Drosophila melanogaster: one gene and its partners. The protein of the gene in region 1 interacts with the protein of each later gene in a biochemical or structural test. Each region holds a gene or a part of one and is shown on either strand. Other genes may lie near its edges.

What was found.
Region 2: the proteins of gro (region 1) and Myc form a complex in vitro, tested with the Drosophila melanogaster proteins (one study listed by BioGRID).
Region 3: the proteins of gro (region 1) and pan form a complex in vitro, tested with the Drosophila melanogaster proteins (one study listed by BioGRID).
Region 4: the proteins of gro (region 1) and hry form a complex in vitro, tested with the Drosophila melanogaster proteins (2 studies listed by BioGRID).

What each region holds. Positions count from the first base shown.
Region 1 is NT_033777.3:26,038,508-26,048,350, reverse strand, and holds the start of gro (groucho), read right to left. Parts: upstream 6,616-9,843; 5' UTR 6,450-6,615; intron 6,272-6,449; exon of another isoform or gene 6,087-6,271; intron 5,711-6,086; exon of another isoform or gene 5,539-5,710; intron 5,532-5,538; exon of another isoform or gene 5,448-5,531; intron 5,357-5,447; 5' UTR 5,008-5,356; coding exon 4,972-5,007; intron 4,837-4,971; coding exon 4,742-4,836; intron 4,042-4,741; coding exon 3,978-4,041; intron 3,908-3,977; coding exon 3,725-3,907; intron 3,348-3,724; coding exon 3,315-3,347; intron 2,883-3,314; coding exon 2,688-2,882; intron 2,623-2,687; coding exon 2,524-2,622; intron 1,816-2,523; coding exon 1,759-1,815; intron 1,619-1,758; coding exon 1,442-1,618; intron 1,378-1,441; coding exon 1,106-1,377; intron 856-1,105; coding exon 182-855; intron 116-181; coding exon 1-115. Other genes in the region: E(spl)m8-HLH (enhancer of split m8, helix-loop-helix), read right to left, coding at 7,488-8,027. UniProt on the Drosophila melanogaster protein: Transcriptional corepressor that regulates transcription when recruited to specific target DNA by hairy-related bHLH proteins. Maternally required for neurogenesis; in the segregation of the neuroectoderm. Directly or indirectly interacts with Notch and Delta.
Region 2 is NC_004354.4:3,370,324-3,376,945, reverse strand, and holds the start of Myc (Myc), read right to left. Parts: upstream 3,788-6,622; 5' UTR 3,223-3,787; intron 2,007-3,222; exon of another isoform or gene 2,003-2,006; 5' UTR 1,941-2,002; coding exon 713-1,940; intron 1-712. UniProt on the Drosophila melanogaster protein: Participates in the regulation of gene transcription. Binds DNA in a non-specific manner, yet also specifically recognizes the core sequence CAC[GA]TG. Seems to activate the transcription of growth-related genes; required for cellular proliferation and growth.
Region 3 is NC_004353.4:87,526-94,419, forward strand, and holds the start of pan (pangolin), read left to right. Parts: upstream 1-2,829; 5' UTR 2,830-3,688; coding exon 3,689-5,748; intron 5,749-6,894. UniProt on the Drosophila melanogaster protein: Segment polarity protein. Functions together with arm to transduce the Wingless (Wg) signal in embryos and in developing adult tissues.
Region 4 is NT_037436.4:8,673,029-8,680,816, forward strand, and holds hry (hairy), read left to right. Parts: upstream 1-2,730; 5' UTR 2,731-3,221; coding exon 3,222-3,320; intron 3,321-4,343; coding exon 4,344-4,439; intron 4,440-4,576; coding exon 4,577-5,395; 3' UTR 5,396-6,225; downstream 6,226-7,788. UniProt on the Drosophila melanogaster protein: Pair-rule protein that regulates embryonic segmentation and adult bristle patterning. Transcriptional repressor of genes that require a bHLH protein for their transcription (e.g. ftz).

The DNA of each region.
Region 1 (9,843 bases):
GCAAAGCGCAGCGACAGAACGCAGCTCTCGTGCAGATGCAGTTGATACTTGTCCGGTTTCGATGCGTGCAGCACCTCCACATGCGAGTTCTCCATACCCACAGCCAGCCAGTCGCCTAATGGATAATACAAATTATGTTATTTCTAGATGATTATATCTCGTAAGGAAGTCGTCATCATACCTGTGGGACAGTAGCCGAGCGAGAATATTTGAGAGCTGAAGTCGTGCTGTTGCAGCTGGCGACCCTCGCGCAGATCCCAGGAGCGCACCGTGTTGTCTAAGCCGCCCGTCCACAGCCTGGAGCCATCCGGACTGATGTCGATGCATGAAGCGCCGTCGGTATGGCCCTGGAACTGGCGCACCAGGATCTCGTTGTGCAGGTCCCACACAGCGATATTGCCGTCGCTGCAGCACGAGAAGCACACCTTCGAGTCAGGGCTAATGGCCAGAGCGTAGCAGGCGGGCGCCGCCGATGTTAGTTCCGCCTTTATGCGAGGCGTCGGACTGGCCAGATCCCAGATAGACAGGTTGGACGCCTCACCACCCACGATCAGCGTACGGCCGTCGGGCAGCAGCTTCACCGAGCGGATGTAGTTGTCGCGCTGCAGACAATCCAGCTGGCTAACTGGATTCTTGTTGCCCGGTTGCGAGATGTCCCATACCTTGACGCAGCCCTTGCCGCCCGTGTACACGTACTTTGTGGGATTAGAGATGGTTACCGCACAGACGACCTCTCCATGCGACAGCGTGTTGATCTGACGGGCGTGCCGCGGAATTCCAACACCCACCAACGCGTCCGGCGGGAACGGCACCGGTTGTAGACTACCCTCGCCGTTCATATGGAAAGAGTATGCACTGCAACGGCAAAATGTGTTTATTAATTAATGTAACCATTTAATTAGTGATAAGACGTTTAACGTTCGTAGAAATAGCGATATTATATACTCCTATCTGTGCCGATTCATACATTTATCATCTCCAATCGACTACATTGCACTTTGCATTTTAATCAGTTGCATTGAATTACTTTAAATACTTAATAACAATGCACGACAAAATTCCTATAGTCTACTTTTCGGACCGTAAATTGACATAAATGACTTACGGCTTTCCACCCGTTAGGGCCGAGGGATGTGGAATGCCATTGGTTCGCACATGGGCGTGCGGATCGTACGGCATTGGTGGCGGTCGTCCATAGGCTGGATCTGACGGTGGACGCTGGTAGGGATCGGCCGGCCTTTGATACGGTGCACCCGGATATCCGGCTGGCGGTGGTCCCTGCGGCATCATTTGTTTAGGATTAACGCCTGGCGCCGGAGCAGCGGCGTTCGGTGTCGGTGTGCGTGCCTTGGCGCCCGGTGTACCCGGCTTTTCCATCTAAATGAACGAGATTCAATTAGCTCTAACACTTTCTGGGTTCGACATTTGACATTTGGCTCACATCTTTTGTCTTGAGGCTGGGTGTGGAACGTGACGAACTGGAGCCGGAGCGTGAGGGCGGCCGTTCCTGCTTGATGCCACTACTGCTTGGCTTCTCCAGGCGCTCGCCATTCAAGCTTTCCCGATCGCGCACCTCCATAGACACGTGCTCGCCGTTGGGACGCGGTGAGTGGGATTCCTGCAAGGCACATGTATGCATTAAGTACTGTTTTTGCATTTGATGATAAATGTAATAGCAAAGGTGTGGTTTTTGTTTCTTTTTTTTTTTGGGGAAATTTGGGAGTGGTTGCATTGAATCTGGGCCGACACTCAACTCACCATTTCATTTGCAACATCTACGACTAAATCTTGATCGCTTTTCTCGCCTTCATCCTCCTGGAAATAATTTTGAAAAAAACACAAAAACAATATAAATCAAAATTCATACAAAAACCCACAACGAACAACAGCAATAACAACAACCACAATAGAAATAGTTAGTATCTAAATTTTAGGCCCTGTTCTGGTTTTCACATCATTTTACATGGTTAACAATTTAAAAACGCAAACAAACCATGAAGTTACGATTAGTGTTCCTTTTTTAAGTAAGACAATAAAATCAAAGAAATAAAACTAGTTAAAAGCATAGAAAATGTATATAGTTTACACATGTTCCACACTACTATTAAAATTTATAATCTAAAACAAAGTAAACCAGTCATAATTATAAATCATCTCCAATTTACATTTACACATTAGCTTTACAATTTGTGGAATATTAGAAACAAAATTCTATAAGTTGAGATACACCTTAAACCAACTACTAGAAATTGAAAACCGGAACAGGCACCATTAGATCGTGATGTTTTTTTTGTCTCTTAAAAATTAGCAATTTAGGTTTTGTTTAGCATGATTTTGGGGTAGAGTGTTAGCAGAATTAGACAACAACAATGGGTAAACTACGGAATTGAGTTTCTGGTGAGTTGAGAGACAGCAACAGCTCAGATGAGATGACAGTAATCGGTTATGGCAATCACCATCAACGCGATGATCTATGATACTACAAGTGTATAATGCTAACACTGAAAAAAGCTCGATACTCACTTGCAGTTTCTCATCTTTTCGACGCTTCGAGTCGTTCTCGATGTCCAGCGGCGAGCGTGTGCGATACTTCTCACGATCGGCCGGCGAAACCGAATTGCGCTGCAAGATCAGCATGAAAATTAGCTTGAAATATGCAGAATTTTGATCTAGGGCGTGGTACTCACCAATCGCTCCTCGGCGGCTGCTGGCCCCTCTAGACCCGTCGGCTTGATGTCCGGCCTGTGGTGTTCGGGCGGTTTGTTCAGCAGACCTTGCGGTCCGTGTGGCAGGCCCATGGTGGCGCCCAGGGCGCCAAACGGATTCAGTGCGCCCATCGGCTGAGGTGGTCCACCTGGCACCTGCTGGGCGTGGATCTGTTGCTGCAATGGAACCATGAGATCGTATGAAATCGGGCGTGCGCGTTGCTGGCTTTCGGAATAATGAACATCGTGCTTAGTGGGAATATGAAAGCATTGAAATGTGTGTACATATGTGTGTAAACACAACAACGACATTAACACTAAATGGTATTTGCCATATTTTTATTTTGTATCAAAATTTAATTTATTTATCTTTCGATTCATAAGCATAAGCAAAGACCATCTGGGGTTAATGGAAACAGCAACAACAATTGGCGGCATTTGAAGCGTTATTCAAATAATATAAACGTTGACAATCAGAAAAGGAAGAGGAGGTAGTGAGGCACTGGAGCTGTTGTTGTAGTTGTGGCAGTGGCACATTCGGCGGATGCAGCGGCAGACGGCAACAGTAAACAAACAATAAGAAATTAACTTGCAACGAAACAAACTTACTAAAAGTTGCTGAATTCCATGTTGCTGCTGATGCTGCACAACGTTGTTTGGATTGGATTGGTCGAATGCGAAATCATAACAAATTAGGAAGTAGAAAAACAAACTCAAATCAAATGCGGCCCAAGGAACAAACTAAACCGAAACGAAGTTCCCACTTAACGGTTGCCACATTTATGATATGTACTGTTTCATATATACGTTAGATTTCTTATTTTTTATACAATTTTCAAGATATTTGTTATTCTTTGAAAGACTGTATTACAAAGTACCCGGCAAACTAAATTTCTCTGCCTTTTCGGTGTGGCAACCGAATTTCCAATCGGCCATGCCCCCATTAGTGTCTATCTGAGAATGGCTGAAACCGTATTGCTGCTGCCGCAGAATCCATCATCCGTCCTCGATCGACTTACCCCAATGATCAGGTTGAGCTCCTGCATGGTCACCTGCTTCGCCCGCTCCACCGCCTGCAGCACTTGCTGCTGGTGGTCGGCCTGAAGGAATGGAAGTAGCTGGTTGATCAGTGTGTTCAGCCGCTTGGCGATCTCGGTCTGCTTGTGCATCTCCACGTTAAGGCCATAGGACATCTCGTAGTACTGAAAGTTGGAAGGCAAGCCGTGGCATTAGCTAAGGGATCTCGATAATTTGCGGATCATGACGACTTACCATAACATAATGGCGCTGCATCTCCGTCTTCTCGTTCGACAGCTTCTCGCACTCCAATTTAATGCTGGAATTCACAGGAAAAGTGATCAACGGGCAAATTAGTTGGACGACGGAAGCGAACTGAATTCAAGAACGCAAGGAAGCGGCGATTGTGGAGCATGGAGCATTGAGTTGCGGCTGGGGCGGCGCAGGTTAATCCTATGACAGCGGCGCATATGGCGCGCCAAACCGGTTTGCTCAGCTTTTTGTTTTACTTTTCGCAAAACGCAGACGCAGCATCCATCCACACTCACACTCGCACACTTCCATACGATGGCGGTTAAGGCTAAGGCTTAAAATGTGATTTCTTTGGGGCATGTTATTGTAAAGGCTTCTAATAGGTTTAACCTCAACTTAATTATTGGGGCCTAATCTCTAATTGCGTATTGCTTAACCCATGAAAACTATGCCATTGGATTATTTGAAAGTGTGAAGAATTTTACTTTTATCTGACATAAATTTGCGATCATAGCAATTTTAGTGGGCCAATAGTTCTTAGGGCCAATATTCAATGTAGTTTTTTCTTGACATAGCAATTACAAAGATGACATTTGCAGAGAGTGTCATTATGATGGCAAATATTTCCTTGCAAATCTTTATAGTAAAGATTTGCCTTGTATTCACAATTATAATGATAAACCTTGTATATCCCTTGTAAATATGATTCGCGTAATGTTTACATATGTAAACATTGCCGTGTATAGAGTATTCCACCGGATACTTGCCTGTGGTACTGCGCCTGCAGGAAGTTGAACTCCTCCTTGATGCGTTCCAGTGTATCGGCGATGGTGAACTTGATTGGACCCTGAGGTGGTGGTCCCTATTTAGATGTGAATAGAGGTGGTTGGTGTTCCGTACGTGGGCGGCACATGGCGCGGCGTGGTGGAAAGAGACATAAACACAATTAGCACGGATTCGGGGGTCAGAGGTGGGACCCACTGTCGGGTGAACTTACCCCGGCGGCGGGGTGGCGCACCGGTGAGGGATACATGTTGTTAGGCTGGTATGTTGCCGGCTAGAGCAAGAGCGATAGTTCCGAGGTGGACACCGATTTGCCGGAGCGGAAGTCCTGCTGCTCCTCCTGCTGCGTACGCCGCTTCCTTCCTTCCGGTTATCCCTGAGCACTCCACTCCTGCACAGAAACTCCTTGCAAAACGTGGACTAATATCTATCTGTTTGCCAGCGTTTTATGGTACTTGTTTTTTAGCTATTCTTTTTCTTCTGTTTTTTTTTTTAATAATATTTTTCGATGGCAGTTGATCCGCTTTATTAGTATTCCCACAAACGGAACCGGCACTTAGTGGCACTCCATGTCCGGGCTACTTCGCATTTTGCATATCCTGCGAATGGAATTTTACAACAACATATTTGCTTAGTTATGCTTTTTCATATTTTTGCACCATTTTTTTCGATACGTTCGCACGCACGTACATACACGCACACACACAGGCGCGCTGAGCCAGCGAGACACACGCACACTAGCACAGGAAACGGGAGCGAGGGTACGAGTGTGAGTGTTTACCGCCGAAAAATCAAGCGCACAGTTGCATGTGGCCCATGAAATTGTTACGCAAAATCACTGTTTGATTTTCGGGGGCCGCTGGACGCACTAATCCGATTGTGCAGTTAACCGGGCGGGATTAATCCAATGAAAATAAAACACTTTTCTTTCGTAAAGGCAGCACACTCCGCACAAACAACATGCGAACATATACAGACAGACTGCAATTAAACAGGGTTGCCATGCCGTTTGAAACGCGCACAGCAGCAGAAACACAGTTTGCACATTACTTTGATGTTTATTGTTTGTTATTTTTCCGCTTATCCGCATATAATTCACTTGCTTGGCCCTTTTCAATATTTTTCAATTGTACAGCCAATATATTTTTTATGATTTGCCCTGGAGGCGGCAACTCTGTTCGGCGATACGGGCACATACATAGAAACCAGCGAGTGGCCAAATCACACACACACACTCACTCACACGCGCGCAGCGCAAAAGAAAAATTATACTGTGTCCTATACAAAAAATAAACAAAAGCAATTAAAAAAGCGAGATAATGGCAGTACCAGTTTTATGCCCCGGATTAGCACGCTTTATCGCAAGATGTTTCTATGTTTTGCACTTAAATCTCTGGTCCATTTTTTACAGTTTCTTCGTTTTCGCCACCGAAAAGTGGGAAAATTATTTTTTGTAACTTTTCGCCCGTATAAAATTGCCTGTTTCTGCCGACCGACCGCGAAGTGTCTAACATTCGTGTATGTGTTGGGCAGCTTTGGCGGCGGCGCTCTCTCGCTCTCTCACAGGCACACACACACGCAGCGGCTCTCTCTCCGGCTCTACTACACGCGCACTCGCTGTACAAACGCGGCTTGTAAATGGCGTTCTCGTCTCAAATATTTTTGCAACAATTTCGGCACGCCGATTTTCACCTCGGTAGCACTTGGTATCCTCGCCGATTGGGGCAGCTGGCAATTGGGTGGCTTTTGGGGCATCGGCACGGCCCGTTTCTATTTATAATTTCCTATTTTCCTATCCGCGACACACAGACCGCGTCGGTCTCAGGTATGCAATTTGCGCTATCGCCTATCGATGTGTCGAGGGTCTGTTATCGCGGGCCACTCGCTTCAGCGGCGCAGTGTTGCATGCGCCAGTGTTAGGAAGTGCCTGCGCTGAAATCGAACTAGTTACACTCTGCGAAATAATAATCCTAATGTTCAAAGAACTATTACGTATTAAATTATTTATTTACAAACACTACGGTTGCAGAACAACTAATTAAATAGATTCCATGCTAACACTCATTTTTTGCCATGATCTTGAAAAAAAAGTGAAAAAAGTTCCGCAATAAATACGTAACTTAGATCTGTACATGTTCTTCAGGTGCAGTTGGCGCGCTTTTTAAAAATGAATAAATAATTATTCAGTTTATTATTATTCAGTCTGATTTGCTATTTTCAATCTTGTGAACCGTTAAGGACATTACCGATTCAAAAAACTTAAAATTATCAGTGCTAGTTTTCTAAAACACTTTTATTTTAATTAAGTGAAATATATTTAATTTATTATTAAATAGATATAAATAAATAAATATAATTTATTTATATTTATAAATAAATATTTATTATTATAAAATAGATTTCACTTCGGTCATTGCCAAAATAGATTTCCATTGTCAGAGCAGAGATATATTATTTGATATTTCCTAATTGGTAATAATTTAATTACCAATAAGGATTCCAATTGCCACCAACTAAGGGATTGGTCCCTTAGATCCCCTCCCAACATCCCAATAAAGTAAATTGTTTTGATATTTGTTTAAATTGGTTTATATTTGTTTTGCTAATTGCTTTTTTAATTTTGCTATTTTGTTGCCATCACAGTTGGGCTATCACAGATGCGTTGTTGGTTGGTTCTTCCATTCCCATTGCCACTCCACCCTTACCTTCCTGCCACTTAACCCCTTGTTTTTACCAGGGGCGCCACAAGGGCTGCTGCATGGGCTGTGGCGAGGGGGCGGGGCTGTCGCAGTCGCTGTGATATCCGGAGGAGGCGGGGCTGAGCGGAGCCTTGTCCATTGAGGAGCAGTCCATCGAGTTCTGGATGAAGTCGGCGGCGGACTGTGCTTCGTGGAATTGCTGCAAGTTCTTGTAGACGCGTCCCAGGTGAGTCATCACCGATTTGCCCAGGTCGACGCTCATGCCAGGTGTGGAGGCCATGACACGTGACACCTCGTTGACGGCATTCATGTAGCCATTCTTAAAGCTGTCCAGGGGGAGGGATTGTTCTTCCTGAGCCACCTTCTTTGGTGTCTTTTGCTGGCGCATGAAGATCACCGCTGACTCGAGCATCTCGGCCTTGTCCATGCGCAGGATGCCATCATCACCTCGTAGCTCGGCGACAAGTGTTTTCAGGTTGTCCAGGCACTTGTTCATGCGGGCACGTCGCTGGCGCTCCAGCATTGGCTTCTTCACCTTCTGGTAGATCTGGGTCTTGGTGGTGTATTCCATTTTTGTTTTGGTAGTAGGTTACGTAGTTTTAAAAATTTTTGAAAAATTTTGTATTCGGCTTGTTGCTGCCTGCTCGACGGCGTAATCGTGAGTGATATTCTGCTCTGCGAGGTCCCGTCCTTTTATACCGCTCCCTGGTCCCTGAAATCCACCCTCTGATACGCACCTTTCCTGCCCTCTCTTTCGCTCGCACGGCTAAACGCCGGTGTTGTTGTCTTTTTCACAAGGAACAGCTGCAACTTCGTAGGACGGAGGACAATCCTTGTGGCTCGTGGCGTGGGAACCGAGCTGAAAGTAAGTTTCTCACACAATTTTTTCTCGTTTGTTTTCCCTTTTGGCCACATGCTTCGCTCCGCTCCGCTTCTCATTTTTTTTCGAGTATAAGGATCAGGGCACATTTTTGCAGCTGTCGCTGTTTTTGGCTGCTCGCATTGCTTTCTGGGCCGGTGTTATTATCCTTAATGCATACTTCACTGCCTCATCCTGTCGTGTTTGGAATGGGAACGTTCATATATGGGTACATGGGATCGAAGCATGATGAGCAGGGGCAGGGGATCCGAACTGCTTGTGCGTGGGCCGCTCTGGCATTGTTATCCTGCCGTGCCATCTACTCGCTTATTGTTTCATCAATGCCAGCAGACGATGATTGTATAAGCCCCTACTCCTGCTCCGACCTCCGAACTGCGAACTCTGAGATCTCCTCTTTCCGTTCCCACAGTGCCCCGTCGACGAGTGTTTATTGGACACAATTAGTGGATGTGGCATATTGGCTTCGTGCCGGGTCGCCTTGGTTGTTCGATCGTTCCATCGTTTGGGCTGTCTGATCTCGGGTTTTTGGGTGGTTGGCAGGGGGACGTGGGTCAAACGGGCGCAGAAAGTGTGCCCCGCGTGCCACACTCGTGGCCGAGGTTGAGTACTCAATGCCCAGGCTGAGGTGAGGTGGGCCTTGTGCCGGAATGTCTACCTATGGGATGCACATAGTTAACTTCCTGCAACCCCCTAATTGGTAATTAGTAATTTTTCACCGGTTAATTGATGTGCACTTTTCAAATATCTTGTCTTATGGTAAATGTGGTTTGTTCAATGTGTGGCTCATCCTAATAAGATTGTTAAAGTAATCATAGGATACAAAAGTTTTCTTTGAATTTAGTTAATAGGAACTTATAATGTCTGGCGTATCTTTCTAAACCCATTTTTAATTAGCTAATATTAAGTGCTTTTGGTTTCGGAATCTTGGGTTTCGCATGCAAGTATGGTGTATTAGAATTCCATTGAGTAAATTTCACTTTCGAGTTAACTTTTATAAACTCTGTTTCTATTAGGAAACTAATCGACCTCTGACATCGATGCCTACCTATGGGATTTGTGTCCCTCCCTTGCAACCGCCTAGGGTATGCTACTTCCTCACTTAATAATTGAGATGGATTTGTATATCTCCCTTACAAATCTTGAGGGTTCTTAATATTGACATTTTATGGGTGGAAAACAACGTCATTGATTATTGTAATGGGGAGGGATACTCTCACTTCTTATAGTATTTTGGGTGTCAGAGGTTAATAATGTGGTATGAATTTGGAATTGAATACACTTACCTATGATTTTACGTAATGCTATTGCAACCCTCAATATGTGATGTAATTTAATTGATTAATTGTAAAAGAATAAATTTTAAGGGATTAAATATAATAGGGTATAATGTGTGATAAGTAATCGAGACGCGTGCTGAAACTCATTTGTATGTTTCTTGACCATTCTTATTGACCTTTTATTGGTGGAAAAATTATAATGCCGCATTTAAGGTTTATAACAATGTATT
Region 2 (6,622 bases), on another chromosome or scaffold:
TTTCGGAAGAGAGAGGATGACGCCATGGAGCAAATAAACACAATGAGCCATGAAAGCCACGCGCCGCGCCAACATTTTCCCCATTGTGGGTGGCAAGTGGGAAAAATCATAAAGGAAAGTCCAGAGCAAGAGCTCAGAGCATTGAGCATACAAGCACATCGCAGCGAAAAGCACAAAAATCAATGGGGGAAATGGAAAACCACCGCAGACAGACGCCGGCGTCGCGTGGGCGGGTTTTTTCTTCTCTTTTTTATTGTTTTTTTTTTTTTGTGCAACGTAACAAGTTTACTACGTTTGCTGTTGACGTAGGCGTTTTCCGCCAATCGATTTTCCGGTTGCCTATGGTATACAGCGTACTTGTGCGTTTGGGCGTTACTCTGCACCCACACGAAACGGAAGTGCGAACACTAGTTGAATGTGCAACACCCAAAGGATGGATGAATGTGCGGGCGGGCGGGGGGTCATGTGGCCGGTTGTAAACTAATCGGCCGCCCCACGACGTTGTAATTAGTATGCCACTTTTGGTAGGCGTTTTAGACTGACTCAGGCGTAAACTAAATTTTAATGCATCCCCAGGGATCTAACTAATCTCTACTGTTTTGCCATGCATCCAACGACCAGACCATTTTGTATTTCTTGTAAGACATTCGGACTTTAAGCTTCCAATATTGATGAAAATGGGGCATATGAAAAGTATATAAATTTGACTCACCGGAATCTGAGGGGGTCTCCAAATTGGGACCATCGTCCACCATATCGTTGCAGCGCGTGTAGCTGTGATCGGTGATGTGCATCATGTGCAGCATGCCGTTGCTGTTGTTCTTCAATTTGTTGTTTTTGTTGTTGCTGTTGTTGTTGTTGGTGGTGATGCTGGCATTGCTGCCGCTTTTGCTAGTGCGATGATGGCGCAGGTCAAAGTTGAGGGGTTCACCGTCATCGGAGTCACTATCAGAGCCGGTCGTCGGCGGAGAATCCACTGTGTTGCGTCCAGTGGCTATATCGATGGCCTGTTGTTGCTCGTCCAGTTGCTGTTGGTTCAACTGCTGTTGGCCACCCGTCGAATTGGAATGCTGGTTGAGCACATCGAGGACATCGTTGATCGGCGGGATGTAACGCACCGGCAACGGATCCTTGCCGGTATTCTGAAGCTCCCTGCTGATTTGCTTAATGTAGTTGACATCGCTATCATTGCCGGTCAGCGAGATATTATTGCTGCCCATCACGCAGGCACGCAAGTCGACGTTATGTCTAAACTCTGAGGCGGCCACCTCGTCGGTAAGACTGTGAGGTGTGTCTGGTCTCTGGTATTTTATGCTATCGCTGCCGCTCAATTCGCCCGATTTGCGGATAATGTCCTGGTTGTTCCGCTTGCGGAGCAAACTTCCGCCGGGCGGTATTAAATGGACCTCGTCCTGGATCTGTGACTTCTTGTCACCGCCGCTCAAACGGAGGCGCTTCTGACAGACCGTGTAGTCCAGATCTGCGAGCTCCTTCTTGATGATCACCGGCATGTTCTCGGCACTGTTGACGACATGCTGTTGATTTGACTGGGTGTTATCTGTCGTCTGCGATCGTTGATACGCGCTGTAGAGATTCGTAGAGCCGGAAACCATCGCCAGGGATACGGCACCGGTTTCGCTGTACGACGAGGCTGCACTGTTTCCGCTCTCTATTCCATTACCGTTACCGCTGGTCAAACAGCTGGACATCGCCGGCCACATGCAGTCGATGTTGCGGATCTCTGGCTTCATATCCTCCTCTAAGTCATAGTCTTGAAATACACTTTCCATGTCCTCGATCTTCTCGAGATCACTCTGAATGGTGGACGACGAAAGGAGTTTGTCCATATCGTACAGATCATTATCCATATCGAATATTGAAATATTTGAAAAAAGTTGGTCGTCCATTATGGAATACGGATCAGAGCGGTAAAGGGCCATTGCGATTATGTTGTCTGGGTTTTTTTTTCTTTCTATATATCTTAAGTTCCTGAGTTATATGCCTGTCTGAAAAATATAGATAAGGCGGAAATCGTTGTAGGTATGATTCTATATTTGAACTTAATTAAATAAATATGTCGGCAACACACTTTTTGAAAACTTCTTCAACATAAGGATTTTTGCAACATTTCAACTATAATGTAAGAGTAACTAAACTCCTAATATTATTATTGTATTAAGTCACGTTCTACTGTGCCAGATTTCACCTATAATGACGTCAGGCGATGTCGAGGGTTCAGCAAATGTTATCAAAAGCAAATTTAGCTTATAGCTTCATTTATACACTATTAACCATTTGAACCCGAAATCGTCAATCTTGGCGCTCTTGACAATAGCAAAAAAAAAAAAAAAATACATATACTAATGAAATAAACAAGGGCATAAAAGGAAAACCAAATATCAAATACCCAATTCCAGTTACTGAAAAATAAACGGTCCTTTTACCGATAAACGCAGACCTGCAAAGCTTACTGTGCTTTTCCCTTTTCGTAGAATCCGTTGCATTCCGGTAAACAAGTACGAGCAAAAACTAACAGTACATGTCTTTCGCAGAATCGAACGCAACCCGGTATATATTGAATTTCAGAATCATAGTAAAATTGGAATATCAACATTTATTAAATTATTATTTAAATCTTTTTAAATTTATTAAGCTAATTTATTTCTTTTTTAATTTATCAAGCTAATTTATTTCTTTTTTAATTTATCAAGCTAATTTATTTCTTTTTTTAATTAATTGATTTATTTCTCCTTTAAAAAGTTTAATACTTTCGTAAAAATTTTGGGACCATTTTATTTAATTACTTTGGAGCCCCAGAGTTCTGGAATTTTCGAACATTACCAACTCGTTTCAACGCCATCAAAGCGTTTTTAATACTTGCCAGCATTAAGAAGAATTTCACAAAACAATAAAGAACTTTGTAGAATTTTGTTTTGCAAAATTCGTCCACTTCCACTTTTCTATTGTCTCACTTTTTGTTCTTAATTTCTTGTAAGCACTTGATTCTTAACATTCCTTCTGAGTTCCTAGAATCCGTTATTTCGTATCGATTTGTGCGGCCATGATCACTGATTTGTCATTGTGTGTGAGAGCACCGTTAAAAGTTAAGCTATTTCACCTTTCCCAGAAATTCTATTTTGAATTCCCCGTAGTGGCGCGATTTTTGAAGTCGTTGCGTTCCGATAAATAATATATATTATATATATATATCTTTGCACTCACCTCGCTGAACATAGTTTCCGTATCCGTCTCTATTTAATTGATTGTAATCCAATTTAGTTAGCTTCCTTTGCTTTCCAGTCGCTTTCGGCTATATCTATTTCTATCCCGTTCCCGTGCCGCCAGCAAGTTGGGCACTTTTTTTTTTGCGTCAAAGAAGGGGAAAGACGGAGAAAAAACACCAAAAAAAGGGACACAAAAAAAAATTCTTCCCGTTTATTTTGCACTAGCTGATTTTTTTTAAAAAATCTTTTTTTAATTCTAGTTTTTCACAAGTTTTTGTTTCTGCTTTGGAGAAGATTTTTTTTTATGTATTTGCGCGGTTTTAAGTCGGCTCTTAGGTTATTTCTGGGATTTAGCACTTTTGTAACTTGGCTGTGACAGTTGTTAGTAGTAGTTGTATATTTTAAAACGTGTTGCTTCAGGTTTTACTACAGAACTATTTATATAGCGTTTGGTTTTTTTTTTTTGTATCGGGCGGAAAACAGGCAAAAATCCAATCCACAAAGCGATTCTCTGAATTACCCGCGGTGAACTGAACACGCGACGCCACAGAAATAGTGCCCGTTTCATGTTGTCTGTGGCTTAAATAAAATTTCTATCGTACCAGACTGCCGCGCTCTCTGCGCTCTCACTGCGCATGCTCACTGCTGCTCTCTTTGCTGGAATTCGCTTTAAGTGGTGAGAATAGGAGCTTCAACAAAAATCTTCTTTGACATTTGGATCACATTTAGATCACATTTGGATTCATCACGATTTGTTAATACTCGAAGGTTTTCAAATAGTACGCAATGCATTTAAAATGATCAATGTTTCTTTGCCTCTCCCGCACACTGGTTCACATAACAGCATCAGTTTGCCGGTATTTTTTTTTTGAGTGAAAGAGAGTGAGATTTTTGAGTGGTGTTTACAATAATTGAGCGCAAACAAAATTGAGACAAATCGCAAATTGCTCCGTAAATAAAAACATAAACAATTAACTTGAACTGGCTCAAAATGTTTTTGTGAAATAAATGCAATACGAAAATGTGTAGTTGACTGGAAATCAAAACAAAATTTTATTCATTTCCTTAATTTACTTACGGTATGTATATTAAAATATAGAAATTAAATTTATAAATATACGCATTTATTTATGTTAATGTTAATCGACATAAAACTACAGGTTTCAATTGCTTTTCTGTGGCATTATTTGGGATTCTTCATTGCCGCATAAATGTTTCCTATTTTTAAATCGATTTATTTTAAGCTCTATTCCTTTTTGCGTAGAAGTTGCGAGAAGTTGTTCATTCCCTCTTGCTTTGGCGCCTTACATTTCTTTCGTATTTCCTTCTTGCCCTTTCCTTTATCTATGCATGCATTTACCGTACTTTTTTTTATGTGCGTGTGTGCCTTTGTCACCTCTTTGTCTGCCACGCAACTTCATTTTCCGTTTTGTCAAGTTGATTGAACTTGTGAACTTTGTAAACAATGCAGAATTCATTTAACAATAATAGAAAAGTTAGGCCGCATGGTAGAAACAAAAGAAGAGCCAAACATTTTGTTAACGAATTAAACGATGCCAAGGAAATGTAAAAAGAAAGGGAAAAGAATAGAAACCAGCCAAAAATATTACAACTTTGGAAAGAAGAAGTTGTGGAAGAAGTAGAAAAGGGTAATAAGGTAAAGGCGGATAGGAAGCAAGGGGACCTTGAATGAAAAATAGAATATAACATGCACAAGCATACGTCTCTACATACATACATACATATGTATGTATGCACATTCCAACAAACTTCTTAATAACTGTTTGTAAAATACAATGTACATAGTATGTGTACTACATACAAATAATGATTTGTGCATGTGTACATATGTTTATCGCACAAATATGTACATATGTACACATATATCAACCTTTAAAAATCGACTTGAAAGGACCTGCATTTTGAATTTTGCCCCTTTTAGAGAGTATTAAATCATCAGGTGGTTCCGACGCAAAGTTCCTCCCGCTTTCTACACCCCGTCGATTTTGTTACGTTTCGCTTTGATTTTCATTTCCACAACTTTTAGTGCACAACATAGCGCTTTTGGCGCGTGCATCTGCCCTCTCTTTCACACGCTTTGTTTTGATTTCGCAACGAGGCGAACCAGCAAAAAAAAAATGCACGCTGCACACTCGCCCAACTACTCTGCAATTTGCACATTTAATTAATTGTTTGTACAAGCGACATATTAAAAAAAAAAAAAAATTGTTTAATTCTTCTGTCAATGGAAATCACAAACAGCCCAATAAAATTCACCTTCCAACATTCCGCTTTAGTATCCATAAGCATACAAACAGCCATTCGTTGGCAAAAAGCGATATGCTCCACTTTTACAGGGTACAACTGCGTCACAGACAAAAAGAAATGGTCCCGCAATTTGCGAGCTTTTGTCCGTCCAAGTTCTCGATTTCAATAAGTAATATTTCTTGTGTTTCGATGTTTGCGCAATTTATGTTTGCGTGTGCTGCTTGTTTTTGTAATAGTATTAAACTATTTTCTGCACTTTTTTTTTGTTTCGCGGGTAAATGGAAAGTGTGCATGGCGAGATAAAACAACTGCGTAAATAACGGCAGCAAGTGGCTGCCGAGTTTCCATATCTAGTTTGTCAAGAATTTGCAAGCTTTCAAAAAATTGGCCGTAAAAATGCAATGCATTGGCAGTAAATCGAATAAACCGGCAGTTATGGGAAACATCGAAAATATAGAAAGAATGGAGCAACTCAGGAAAGTGAAATGTAAGTACATAAATATACATATGTACATACATACATATTAGCATTAGCAGGTTACGTTGTATGCACAACCTTATTGAGTGTATTGATAGTACTAGTACTAGAATGAGGTTCATCCCATTCGCAGGCGCATTTGACTCGGCATTTAACGGTCTACACGTGCAGCAACAATGTAACTTTGACGCCAGCGTCGACAGGTGTACCCGGCGTAATTGTTTTGCGATAATGCCGGGGCCTTGCAGTTGCAGTTATGCTCACCGTAGGCCAGAAACGATCGCCTTCCATTGATAAGGCGAATAATCGTAAATTGCATTGCGCACTAGTCTTTCTTTTGCAACAATGTCGCTATCTTCGACTTCTTATTTTTTTTCACGTTACCCATGTATTGGTATTTTACTACAAAAACGTAAAAATACGTTCAAATCTAAGGCGACGAAAAATCACACCCTCTCTTTAAGTGTTATTTCGAATTGTAGGTACTTTTATTATAATACGCAATAAGGAAAGTTTTACAGGTATTTTGATTGTATGGATGGATTCATGTCATTACATAAATACTAAAAATATTCATTCAAATATTCATAGAAACTCAACGTTTGCAAGGTGTACCGTACATGCGTGTATATGTATATGTGTATATATGTAC
Region 3 (6,894 bases), on another chromosome or scaffold:
CTGCGCAGTTAGGACCAACCCCTAAAATGAATTTCGAATTTTATTACCCCTTTCTTTTAAAGTTCTGGCTCTTATAATTTCAAAAATGTACATAAACTTTTGTTACTTAAACTGAACTAGCATAAAAATAATGTTGTTTTAATATACAATTTAAAAATAAAGTACAGTTTTTTTTTTATTATATTATGCTATACATTTTATTTGCCTTCTGAAAACAACTCATCCTAAGCAAGTTACTTTTATACTTTAAGATAAGGCCTTAAAATATAATTTGAGTGAAGCTCTTTCCATCGTTGTTACCTTTGTCTGAAAATGCTTTAAGCAATAAATGTAAATCAAGAGCGAAGTGACATAAATCGGATCATAGTCTTTTAGTTGATTTCGTATTTCATTTACTTACGACATTTACGACATTTTTAAGATTCTGGGCTCAACTACCCAAAATTTTCACTTCTATATTATATTCACTTCTAAAAATGTAATCTTACCTATTTTATTTAAAAAATATTGTTCACACCCAAAGATGAAAAACATTGTAACATTCTCATTTTCGACATACGCTTGCATAGTTTCAATGTGTAGTTCTTAAAATACTACTTAGAATGTTCGATTCCAACTTGATCGAAACGTTAAATCTAAAGTGTGTGTGCATGTCTCTCCTACTAAATCTTAACTTTAATCATCTCGCTTTTATTTCATTCAACTGCTTAAGCTTACTTTTTAAAAAATACGCAAGTTTCGTAGGAAAAGATCGACTACAGTTTTTAAAAAGGTCAAGCTACGGAATATTCTATATGTGCTGATAAAGGTTGTTTTTACTGTTTTTTGGCACGGTTTCTTTACCTAGTTTGTATACAATTTTGAAATTATTAAATATTATTAATATTAATTTTTTAAAAACATCCATAACGGTTTTAAACCTCTGTCGTCAGCCTTTTTTAAACTTTGAGTACATAACACATATTTGTAAAATTTGTTGAGATATATTTTCTGAAAATGTAACATTTGTTTGTATCCTTGCAAAAATTATATCCTAAATATAAAATATATATAAATATATATGTTAATTTCAACAAAAAGTGTAACTATTATGATTTCGAAACCTAACATTTCTAGGTTTGTTAGTTCCCGGAACTACTCTGCTAGTGATCAGGAACATGTATTCTATATATATATACTAAATATATATATAGTAAATATATATATATAGTAAATATATATATACTAAATATATATGTACTAAATATATATATATATATACTAAATATATCTATTCTAAATGTATATATATACTAAATATATATACTAAGAGAATATATATCGTAAAGGCTTCCATCTAGCTGTTGCATACTTCTATTTTAATTGTTGTTTACTATAAAAGCTAGTAGGTTGATATTCACCGTACAGATCCTAGAGACCAAGACGCAGCGCCACATTGTTGACTCATGTTGCCACGCCCACAAGCCGCACAAAACTTCCACGCCCACACTTTTGAAAAACGTGTTGATATTTTTTTTATTTTATTTAGATTTATTAGTCTTGTAAATTTCTATCGATTTTCAATTTTTGTCACGCTCACTTTAACGCTCTAAAGCCGCCGAACCAGTCACTCCCACGCCTTGGAACAATTTTAAAATTTTTTTTCATTTTACTCCTCAATATCTATTGACATCCCAGAAAAATTATGAAATTTCACATTCACACTAGCTGAGTAACGGGTACCTGATAGTCGGGGAACTCGATTATAGCATTCTCTCTTGCTTTTTTCTTAGGTCGAGTCACTGGACTTTAGAGGCCTTTTTTAAAATGCATGGATTTAAAATGTATTAAAGTAGGTTTTTTATTTGTCTAAAAAACTTCTTTGTGAAAAGCGAAAAATATTTATATATATATATACAAATATATTTTTTGTTGACAACCGAAAATAAACTTTCTTCGAAGACATATTAATACTAACGAACATAATTATGAGCAAGTAAACAGTTGAATTGGCCAATTAAGATTAGTGATAAGAAGTTTTACACATCTTTAATTTAGAATCAACCGATTTTTTCAACCGTTTTCAGTGAATAAATAAATTTCTAATATATATCCTCGAAAAATGTAATTTTCAAGTACTAATTTATAAAAAATATTTTGATAATATTTTTTAAATCAAAATGTTAAATTATTTGCTTTAAGTTAAGGTGGTCTAGAAAATTTAAATTTAACTCAAGCTTAATATAATATTGTTTAGTTTACTGTATTCCGTTGTTGAAGCCCATACATATATATATAAATATATATATTCGTAGATATGATTTGAAATTACATGGCGCCATCTATATCTGAAGGCACTTGAGTTTTGCACGTGTTATGTTGCCAGGTAAAATCCAAAAAATTTAACATACATACACAAAATATGAATAAAATTAAAAAATGGGTTACTTTTAATCTGGAATTACGTATAGAAAAAATGTAAATTAAAGTCAAATTTGAAAAGAGTCGTACCAACATTGGATGCTATGAATATTTTCATGTAAAATATTTGTAAAAATACATCATTTTGCGATTTTACTTGTAAAAATGTAAATTTACGCAGCAGTAAAATTCACATTACACAGAAGTACATATTTTTAAAATACAGATTAAACAACTTTATTATTTCTTAAGAATGAATTAAGAATGAAAAAAAAAACAAATTTAATAGTATCTATTACTTTTTTTTTACAAATTCGTTACAAACATGTGCTCGATACAAAGTTTGTGCGCAATGTTTCTCACGCAGTTATTTTCGAGCCGATGGCTCGTCCTTGTCTCTCTTGTTCCGCGTCGTACACCTTTATCGTTAAGTTTTATTTTTAAAGACCGAAAGAGAGTAAATCAGACAATTGTTGTGGCAGTATATACAATTTTGCGAAAAATCTATCTAAAGGAATCAATGCCTAAAAATAGTTGAACAATTTCCGGAAAGAACAATTTATGAACACAAATGAAAAAAATAATCTTTATTCGATTTGTCCATTAGAACACAAGTAGAATAATAACACGAAGTGTATGATGAAATCGAGTGTTTACATATAAAGTGTATTTATAAATTAAATATAAGTTTTAAAAATAGGATGTCATCTTTTGTTTCCATAATAATACTAATATAGTGTTGATCGATTTAGTAATATAAATATGTCGGAATAAATGGAGATAGTATATAAACCGATTATTGACCATATTAACAGTGAACTAAATAAGTAAAACAATTGTGGCTTCCTCTAACACAATGTGGAAATTACAATTAACAAACAAATAAAACAAAAAAAAATTACGACCTCATATTGCAACAGTCGAGCAACAGGGTAACGTTAATTAAAATGAGATTTCTATATAATTAAAAAAATGAAAACAACGCATGGATTCTGGATTATAACATAAATATTACGCTATCTAAATCTCATTAATATTGCAAGAAAATTTTATAAACAACGAACCCTGTATGAAATGTTGAAAAGTTGTACAATGGTGCTTGAAAAAGTACTAATTTAATTAAATTTGAGTCATCAAGGTGAACTAAGATTCTAAAGGTTAATAGAAATGTTTAAAATTTTGAAATACAATTTATCCAATAAATAATATAAATAAAATATAAAACAAAAAGTTAACGAATGACTAACACCGAACGGATTTTAACAGCAGGCTCCCACAAAATCCGATAATGCCACACTGTGGAACAACTAATAGTGAAATTAATTTAAACTCAAACGAATTAATCAGTTACCAGAAAAAGAAGAGCAATGAGGATCTACAAAAAAAGCACGATAAAAAATGTTCAATCAATTTGAAAACGAGCCAGGTCCCTGATGGTGGGTTCAATAACCAATATACGCAATTAACTGCCAACAAAATAGAACAATATAACTGCAATGATTTGGATAAAGTTTGTATTGTACCATCAAGTAGATCAGACGGAATGGAGGCATCGTTTTCCGAACTTCTTTTAAGTCCGAATAAATTAATTTCTCAGCCTTGGCAAACCGCTGAAGAAATAGAAAATTGGCAAAATGACAGTTTTCGCCAACGAAATGAAATGTTTTCTTGTATATATACGAATAGTATGCTAAATCAGCAGCCATGCTCGCAGCAGCAGCTTTTGGCCACACAACTTTTATACGCTCGGCTTCTTCGGTCTCAGCTAGCTGAACGGGAATTTCATTCGAATAAATTCAACATGGTTCATTATTCGGGATCTAAAAAGACCATGCTTCGAGAAGATGAGCTTCTGTCAACCCCATCTTCGCAGGATAATAATAACAATATTAAGTTAATTAAAGATATCGAAAACAGCATAAGTTGTGTAGATCCCCCTTTGTTTGAATTTTCTAACGTTCATCAAAGAGCAGAACAAAAAAATAAACAAGACGACAAAAATTGTTACTCACCAAAATTAAAATCGAACAAGGAAGCCCTAGATGGGTACGACTTACAACACACGTGTGATTTTATCAGGGAGCAAAAAAACATTCTTATCGACATTAAAAAAAAACTAGATAATCTCTCAGATAGCTCAGGTAAATTTAGGAAAAGGTTAAGTGTACGTCAAAGTCACATTGAAGTAAATAATGGCTCTAATTCAGCCCTTGAGGAAAGTGTAAGACGACAACTAAATGGAAATCGCAAGTCTATTGAAAACTTACTGGAAGAGGTAAAACGATTATATAATCAATGGAGCAGCGCTGAGCTCTATTATGTTCGCAGCTTACAACGATTAGGACTCCCATCAGAGGAAGATGGTGAATATACATCTACACCAACACATACTATCATGGCATTAGCTGCTATAGCACTGTCTAATGAAAGTATTTTGCCACAGAAAACAAATGCAGTGCACTCTAAGATTCCAGATGTTGAAAGTGAGTCCGATTTTTTTTTGACCTCAGCAAAACCTAAAACGTTGGTCGAAATAGAAGATATAATATTACAACTCGCATCATCTGTTAATATGCATCAATCCAGCTCTGCTAGCACCCCTCATGAATCCTACAGTGATAGTGTTAAAAGCGATTGCGAAGAATCAAATTCAGCACCCACTTGCATATGGCATTCGACAAGGCAAACCTTTCGCCACAAAAAAGACGTAGAGCCTTGTAGCACTGCAGCTGAGATTATTTTAGAATATGCTTCATTGTCTTCATCTTCTAACATTGAAACCTCTCGCTTGCTTACATCTGCATCAAATTTAACAGATGTTACAGAAAATTATAATGTCACAACGCAATTGCCTATTGTGTTTAATTACAATCGAGAAAGTTCAGCTGAGTCAATCGTTACCGATCCTCTACTTGTTCCTGAGTTTTCTACTGCACCTTCAACCCCATCGACTGGTAGTAATAGTGGATGCTCTACTGGAATGGTTTCTGGAATTTTCGGGCTAAGTCAAAACCGAAGAAAACAAAGACTTGCAAGGCACATTGAAACTCTGACTACAAATTCTTTTAAATCGAATGCAATAAGGGGAAATGTTGACAACGAAATCACTAATCAGCTGAAAACGTCGCCATCAATTAGAGCATTGCCAACTGAAAATGTTTCCCATTTAATTACTAAGACATTGTCTTCGGCTAATGCATCTTTAACAGCGCAGGAACTTTCCATAACTAACCTGTTTAAAGAGCGCCTATGCGCTTTACAGGGAAATGCCGGATCAATGAAAACTGAAATTTTTCCAATGATAGATGCCCCATACGACTTAAGTATTGGAAGCAAGACAAAACACATGTAATTTTATTTCGCCTTACTTGGTTAAACCCTTTATTTCTTTGTAAAACTGTTGAAGTCGATGCTCACTCCTAATAGTACCTATTTTCTTTAATGAACTGTTGATTATTGCAAGCAGCCTGTAGTTGTAAATTATACAAAAAATGTTGTAAGTTATAATAAATTGGTTTCGAGTTTTTAAAGTTTTTTTTTTGTTTTATTTAAAACATTTTTTTCTGTTTATGTGGAATGTTCAATGTGTAGTCTTTTGATTTTTCCCGCTCTACAATACTTATACGCTTATATTTGAAAGGTTTTGATAACTGCCAATTTATTTAAAAAGTGATATATATATTTAAATATATGTATATATTTTATATTTTTGTTGCATAGTATTTAACAGTCTGGAGGAAGCGTTTCCAAAGTATATAAGAACCGTCTTGTGCAGGATTGAATCAGAGTCTATATAACCATTTCCGTTTGTCCGTCTTTCTTTCCGTATGAACGTATATATTATCGAGCGGAAAATAAATGGTCTTACTAAATTCAGTGAAGAGCATATTTGTATCAGGATCACGTATGAATGTCGCGAATTTCACTTACTCTAACGACCGAAACCCTTTTAATTTTTTCTCATCCCAGAGTGCAATAAATTTAACCGCCAAGTAGGAGTAGTGGTTAACCTTCAACCTTCCCCGCACTTTTAAGCTGAGTTACGAATAACAGATTGTATTCTGTTCATTAAAAAAAATGCCATTATACAATAGCATATGCAAGCTTTTCCAAACCATTGTTAGAAAGCGATACTTTTCCCTTTATGTTAGCTGAACTACTAAACGAAGATTGTATATTTTTACAAGTGTATACTTCCGCATGTCTTCTCAGCATTCTTGGAAATAAGTGTCAACGTAGTTTTTTCAGAAACAAAGGTATTTAAAGTGAGTGTTGAGTTATCGTGGGTAGTTAAAAGCATGTAAAGATTTAGTAACTTATAACATATACATTTTTGTAAAAAATAAAAGTTTTATACCATGTTTAACGGATTAAAGTAAACCATGTGTTATTAACTACCAAGCAAAGCACTTTTAAAATATTGATTAAAAACGCATTGTTTAGTTTTATAACACAGGGAAGAATGAATTACAATTATCATTTTGTTTTATCTTT
Region 4 (7,788 bases), on another chromosome or scaffold:
GACCTACTAAGTTAAAAGCGGCGCGTGGGGGTTTCTGTCGCTGTTAAACTCGCAACGTTGCTGTTAAAAGAGCCCTACGATCAACAGTATACATAGTATAGTATATATAGTATAGTTTATGGATACTATATATAAATAATATCAACATAGTTAGTATCTAAGATAAGATTTTCTGTATATTTTAAACTTAATAGTCAAAACTATATGGTATTTTGAGTCTAGTGAATAACCATTTTGAATGATAATGGCACACAAATTGAATTCATTGATCTTATAAAATACAAGCAAATAATAATACCTATAATATTATACATATGCTATAATGTTATTATCAACGCCTTTACGATTATTAAATAGTTAACCAACATGGTCCAAAATGATTCGAAATACCTTCAAGGGGTTCTTTATCGTACCACCAACGTGTTTGTTTTGTTTTCAGTGATCAGGGCTCCCGGGGCTTATGGGGAATCTGGGGGATCTGGCGCTGTCTAATTTTAGACGCAATTAGCAATGCGCACATTTTTGTGTGCTTGCGCCTTTTCGACTATAAATTTTTGCCACAGTTTATTTTAGAAGCTGCATGTGATCGGGTCCGCCAACAACAACAATGGGGCGTCAAATTGGGCGTTCAACGCACAAACAACTGCGAGTGTATCTGTATCTGTGACTGTATCTTTAGCGTTGTATCCGTGAGATACATCCACACCTTTGGCTGTTTTTGGCCAGCTAGCATGATGTAAAACGCCGCCAACGTTTTCCGACCTCTCGTTTTTTTTTCTTTTTTGTTTATTTTCTTTTTTGCTTTTCGTTGCAATTAAATTGGCATGCACAAGTGCCGCCTCTGCCGCCGACAACGCCTCTGCCGACGCTGACCGCGGGCGGGCCGCCTTTTGATCGGCTGCCAAATTGTAATTGGAACGCGAAGGTGTTGTCGACGTCCGCCACTACCGTCTATATATATATGTATCCATATTGTTGGGGCATGTGTTCTCGGCATAACAACCTTCTCTGGCGACCACAAAACGCACAACACTTTAGACAACCGTCAAAAATGTCAGAAATTCCCCAAACTTTTTGAGTATTTTCACGAATCGATAGATATGCATATTTGTAAGACGTGATTGTTGATTAAGTTCAATTTCATTTAATTATTAAGCAGAAATTAAGTGTAGTAAAATCAAATTAACTTCTAAACGTTTTTTTACTCATCTTCATTAGAGTCAACTTTATTAGTTTCTATAAAAACACTGCCAGGTGGTTTCGCTATAAAAAAAATATTGTAAACACCCGTTTTTAGCCAACTTGAATGTTTAAAGCCTGACTGACTCATTCCAATGTAACTTTGTTGACGATTCGTGGTTTTGGTATAACTTCACTAATCAGTGGTCAGAGTCCAAGTCAGGCTTTAAAAATATTTCCCAAGAACAAACGTCAAAGATAACGTAATTTCCTTTTATAGATCGTGTAACCTAAATATGTGTCATCTACCTTTACTGAGCTCAGCCTGGTTAAACTAATTACATGGTTATTACCATTTCTTAAAACTTAACCCATATTTTGTAAATAATAGATGGCTTAAGCAGTTATTTAAAATATCACTTTCGGTTGTAACGAAATGTGTGTGACGCACTTTGGCTTTTTACTACCAAATAAACAATATAATTTAAGCTTCATTTTCACTGTAATATTCCCAGTTTTCACTGCAATGCCCCTCTTCTCATTCTGCTAATGAATGGTTAGTTTTCTGATGCCCGACTATTCCGCGTGTCGCGTAATTATAGTCAACCTTCGATAAATCATTACTCCAAAACAAAACAACAAATAATATATGAAAAACGTGAAAATCCAACGCTGCACGTAGAAGCCATCAAGCTGAATCTAAGCGTCCGGCGGAGCACGTGTGATCCACGCAGCCTTGTCCACAGCGATTTCCATTTCATTTAGCCCGTTGGCGGCTATCGATCAAAAGCCAAAAGGGCGACCTTCACTTAATTGAGGCGTACGGCATGCTGAATGAGTCGGTTGTACAGACTGGTCTGGAAAATGCTAGGGGGATAACTATAGCCACCACCCACTGCCCGATCGCCCAACCACCCAACCACCCAACCACCCACTTCCGCCTAGCGTGCGCACAACCTTGTGATCTTGTTTACTGTTTAGCGACCCCCGAGCCGCAGATACACAGTACACAGCACAAAAAACCGAACCTGTCGCACTGGGGTGGCGTCATATAGCCAGCTATTTTCACCTTCTATGGGACGTCGTCGCGTTGGCCGCATGAATCAGCAAACCACGAACGGCGAGCCACCAGAAACCACCGCAGAAGCAGCAACAACACCAACACCACCGCGACCATCACCAACAGCACAGCCAGAAACACAGCCTCTTGTGAATCCCTCAGTTAGCAGAGCCCAGCAGAGTCAAGCCAAACCGATCGCTGATCGACCGACCGACCGACGATCACCAATGGGGGTTTCGCAGTGTGATTTCCAAAAAGGAAGAAATGCCCATTCCCGCGAGCCACGGGGGCGTATGAGTAACGCGGTGTGTACTTTAGGTACCGCTCACAAGCGTGAGCACGCACACACACACACACACACTGAAGCGAGCAGGTAGCGCATAATGTATACCCCTAGGTAGCCGCAATGCCAGTGCAATTGTATTGGTGCGGTCGTGTGGCTCGCGCTCGCGTCTCGCAGCGGCGATTTAGCCTACGAACCTGTCGATCAATCGTCAGTCTTCCGCCGAGAGCCCAGCGATAAGGTAGTCCCGCTACGCTCCGCAACATCCAGACGCAGTAAAGCAAATACTTATATATATATATACATACATATATATAGCGCAACCATCCGAAAGCCGAACGATCGATCTTCTGCTTCGTGCCGAGTCGTTTCGGTCTTTTAATCGCACTGCAGCCAGAACCTGCTGCTCATTCGCCTGCCGTATTTCGTAGCGTGCGGTTCTATCGCTCCGCTTTGATAAACCGAATCGAAATCTAGAGAACCCCCCCAGACACAATACCATTTTACGTGCTTCTCTGCGACGCTGCGCGAAAGTGAAACCACCAAGTGAACTTGAAAAAAAAAAAAACTGACAACTTGAGTTATTCTAAAAAAAGCAAAAAAGCAGTGAACTTATATTGCAAAGAGCAGCAAATTCAGATTTGCTGCCAAGTGAAAACCAAACTGTGCCTCAAACTCAACAAACAATATCTGACCGAAATGGTTACCGGCGTAACAGCAGCCAACATGACCAACGTTCTGGGCACCGCCGTTGTGCCGGCCCAGCTCAAGGAGACGCCGCTCAAAAGTGACCGTCGGGTAAGTTTCTTTCGAGAAAAATAAGACTCGAAAAAAAAAATCCAAAGCCAAAAACAAAAAACCCCGTCAATGGATTAAATCAGAACCTCTAGTTCCCCGAAATCTGTGGATTAACTGAAGCGAACCAAACCGAGAATTCCCCTAATTGAGAGCCACCCACTTCGAGCTCAAGTTGATTTCCATTCGCGACTGTGGGCGACTGGCCCCATCAATCCCGCTGCCCAAATGCATTTCCTTTTTAGCCATCTCCCACATGGCTGGCTGGGAATAAAAATACGAAAAAAGAAAAACACTCTGAGCCAGACCAAAAAAAGGCCGCAACTGCCGTCGGCGCGCCAACACAAAGCGAATTTATCTCGCGTCGCGTTGGTGGCATTTACTATATGGCATATGGCATACTACTCCGACTACACACACGCTCCATCCATTCATGAGTGCCGCCCAAAATTGGCTGGCGTAGCTGCCCACCAGCTCCCCAGATTCGGACTCGGATTCGGATTTGGCTGCCACTTGGCGCGTGCGTCGCGTGGTGGCTGCAATTGTCGGTCATCAGCCGCCGTTTTTGGCCATTCGAACGGCACCGGTTCAATGAGTTGGCCAGAAAAAAAAAAACTGACTTCATGCGAGTCCAAATTTGGCAACTTGTGCTCCCTAGATAATAATGTACCTAGTTATGGCATCTTCGAATTTCCCGCTCTGACCTTGTCACATTCTCTTTATTTTTGCTCATACCTGGTTGGTTTATTTATAGCCACTGCCTGTAATTTATAACCGCCAAACTATTTTTAAATAAATGCCTCGGCCGAGTGGCGCTATAAATAGAGCACGCGCCGTGCGACTAAATTTGGCCGCCAGCCAGTCAATCCGCTCCCCAACCTACGCCGCCTCCTCCTTGATCTCCTCCAATCCAATTGAAGACCCATGCAGCTTCCTCTATTTTTGGGTCGTTGCATGAGGTCAAATTAGCCGTGCAAAAGCCGTGACTAATCGATGTTTTTTTTTTCCATTTCTTGCCTCTTGCAGTCGAACAAGCCCATCATGGAGAAACGCCGACGTGCCCGTATTAACAACTGTCTCAATGAACTCAAGACTCTGATTCTGGATGCCACCAAAAAAGACGTAAGTATCTGACAAAAATATAAGTTTAAAGCCACAAATAAAATAAAAAAAACTACATATTTGAAATTATCTCAAATATTTTTTAAAAGTTTAAATCATTGACTAATTTCCAAATTATTTTCTCTCTCTACTTTTAGCCGGCTCGCCACTCCAAATTGGAAAAGGCCGACATTCTGGAGAAGACAGTAAAGCATCTGCAGGAGCTGCAGCGCCAGCAGGCAGCCATGCAGCAGGCCGCCGATCCCAAGATTGTGAACAAATTCAAGGCCGGATTCGCCGACTGTGTGAACGAGGTTAGCCGCTTTCCCGGCATCGAGCCCGCCCAGCGTCGTCGCCTGCTACAGCACCTGAGCAACTGCATCAATGGCGTTAAGACAGAGCTGCACCAGCAGCAGCGCCAGCAGCAACAGCAGTCCATCCACGCCCAGATGCTGCCCTCGCCGCCCAGCTCGCCGGAGCAGGATAGCCAGCAGGGAGCAGCGGCACCCTACCTCTTTGGTATCCAGCAGACGGCCAGCGGTTACTTTCTGCCCAATGGCATGCAGGTGATCCCCACCAAGCTGCCCAACGGTAGCATTGCCCTCGTGTTGCCCCAGAGCCTGCCCCAGCAGCAGCAGCAACAGTTGCTGCAGCACCAACAGCAGCAGCAGCAACTCGCCGTCGCAGCAGCAGCAGCGGCCGCAGCAGCAGCACAACAGCAACCCATGTTGGTCAGCATGCCCCAGCGTACAGCCAGCACCGGATCCGCCAGCTCGCACTCCTCCGCCGGATACGAGTCGGCGCCCGGAAGCAGCAGCAGCTGTAGCTACGCCCCGCCCAGTCCGGCCAACTCTAGCTACGAGCCCATGGACATCAAGCCATCGGTCATCCAGCGCGTGCCAATGGAGCAGCAGCCCCTGTCGCTGGTGATCAAGAAGCAGATCAAGGAGGAGGAGCAGCCCTGGCGGCCCTGGTAGAGGGTGTCTGCATATGCATATCATATAGCATAGCCACCCCTATCGAATCTCCCGCTTTTAAGACTGACCCCCCACAACTCATCCAACTCGCACACATGCGCAGGCGTTGTGCGCATGCGCGTAGACATTTCACATCATTCGCCGGGATTGCGCAAATGTTGCTTTGAAGTGTTGCAAACATGCGAATCCTAAACTCGGTTCACAACTTCGTTGGCTTAGTTTCCTGGCTTATATCCTGGAAACCCGTCGACGAGGCTAAGGACCTTCATCAGACGCACCCACACACAAACACACACACGCAAACGTTGTTATAATTTATTTATTATTATATTATGTAATCGATTTGAGAGAACGGTATTCTACCAGGACATCGCCAAACTACCTCAGTCCAAGTACTTGGTGTTGAATTGCCTCATGTATCATGTATTACTCTTTGAATAACAGCAAATCAGCAAAAGTCTTCCAAACACAGAAAATGAAAATGCGAAAATAAGCACCTGAAAAGCTGAAATACTTTTTATGAAAAAGATAAACGCAAAAGCATAACTCTTACACATAGTCGTACATCTCCATTTAAGTATAGGTTTTGTACCATAGCCAGCTAAGCCGCTTAGGGTTTCTCTCGCTCTTAAGTCTAATCAAAGAATAATTATATTTATAAAACACACAAATCTATTCGTAAGGCCACGTGATATAGTGAACATAATGAGCTTCTAAGAAAACAAAACAAGAATTTGATGCAAGCAAAAGCAAAAAAATCAACAAGAAAGAAAAAACAAACAAACAACACACTAAAAAGAAATAAATTTAAAAGATTCTACTAAAAAATCAAATACGCAAAACGGATTTGTTATTGTGGTTGGGGTATCTTTTCCTGGGTTTTTTTTTCATTCGGGTGAAAGTCCCATTATGGTTCTTTTTTTTGTTTTAGAGGTCAAACGCTTTGAGTGACAGGAAACTTATCGAGCCCCCCGACTTATCGTAGCAAATTTCGACGCTAATTATTATAATGCCAATGGTGAAATTCATTTTGCTGGAGAGGATCGGCGGGGATTTCGACGATAATACAACTACGTTTTAAGGGGCTCGATTATGTCCGTTTCTGCTAATATAATCGGCACGACGAGTTGAAGGTTTTTCTGTGGCCAGACCGTAACGGATATAGATATATGTGCATCATAAACATTATATAGGAATGCCTTGATTTTCACACATCCGTTCGATAGGCCAGTAATTCGAAACAGTTGTGACGAAATAAATACTTATTATAATCCTTTGATCGATAATATTTTAAAATATTTTGCAATTTAATCATTGGTTATTCCAATCGAAGTGATCAGCAAAAGTTAAGGCGCACAAGGGTATATTTTAAAATCAAGGCAGGTTAGCTCTGATTGCAATAAATCCGAAATTCCATTAGCTAACGATTCAGCAAAATACCGAATTTCTTAGGGATATGGAATGTCAAGAAGTTGGCCACTATAGCCGCAGGAAAGTCGATCCGGTTCGCGTTAGTTGGAACTAAATCGGATATCGCCATGGATCATGGATGACCGATAGCTACGGATACATTTGGAAATTCCCTGGAACTAACCACTCGAATCCAGTGATATATACAAGTTTATCAACCATTAGGGAAATCTCTTACCCAGTAGCAACCGAGTCACGCCCTTCAATTCTCATAGTGCCCCCACTCTAATCTAAGCAAATCCCTGGGCCATTAATCGTCATGCTCGTGACAAAAGTTTCCGCGAAGTCTGCGGAAAAAATACCGCATCATGCTGATAATATGAGTGCGATAAAGCGGATAAGTGAATAAAATTGTTTTCCATTTGCTGGTGAATCAAGTGCAGAGAGCCACATTCACTTGCTCATCACGGCGTGCCTGCCACTCCCTTGCTGCAGTGCGTCTGTATCTGGGCCTAGTCTCGTTCGCCGTATGACTGGATCAGTATTCACTCGCTAACTATTCACAAAACTAACTCGTGCAGCCTCAAAGTCCAGGGGAAAATTCTCGTAAAAGCTAAGTAAAGATTGCACACAGTCGTTCAGATGTCGCATGTTCTGGAATCTAAGCAATACACTGGAAATACGCTTCGAGAAAAGTCCGATTGGGTGGTTTGGTGGTTGGGTGGTTGCATGACCAGGCTTTTGCCCCACTGAACCGAAAGTGCACTTGATTAGTCACTATGGGGGACGACCGACTTTCGGCCCATCAATGAGGATTACTCATCGTGGCTCGTCTAGCTCGAAATAGCATCGAAAATTTTGCCAGCATGTCTGCTAATTTACAAAGAAACCCCCTCTATTGACGCCCATTGAGTCATCATCGTTTGCCTTAATTGGCAAAAATCTGGTTTCTTTGGAGGACATATTTTTTAAATTAATCGTTC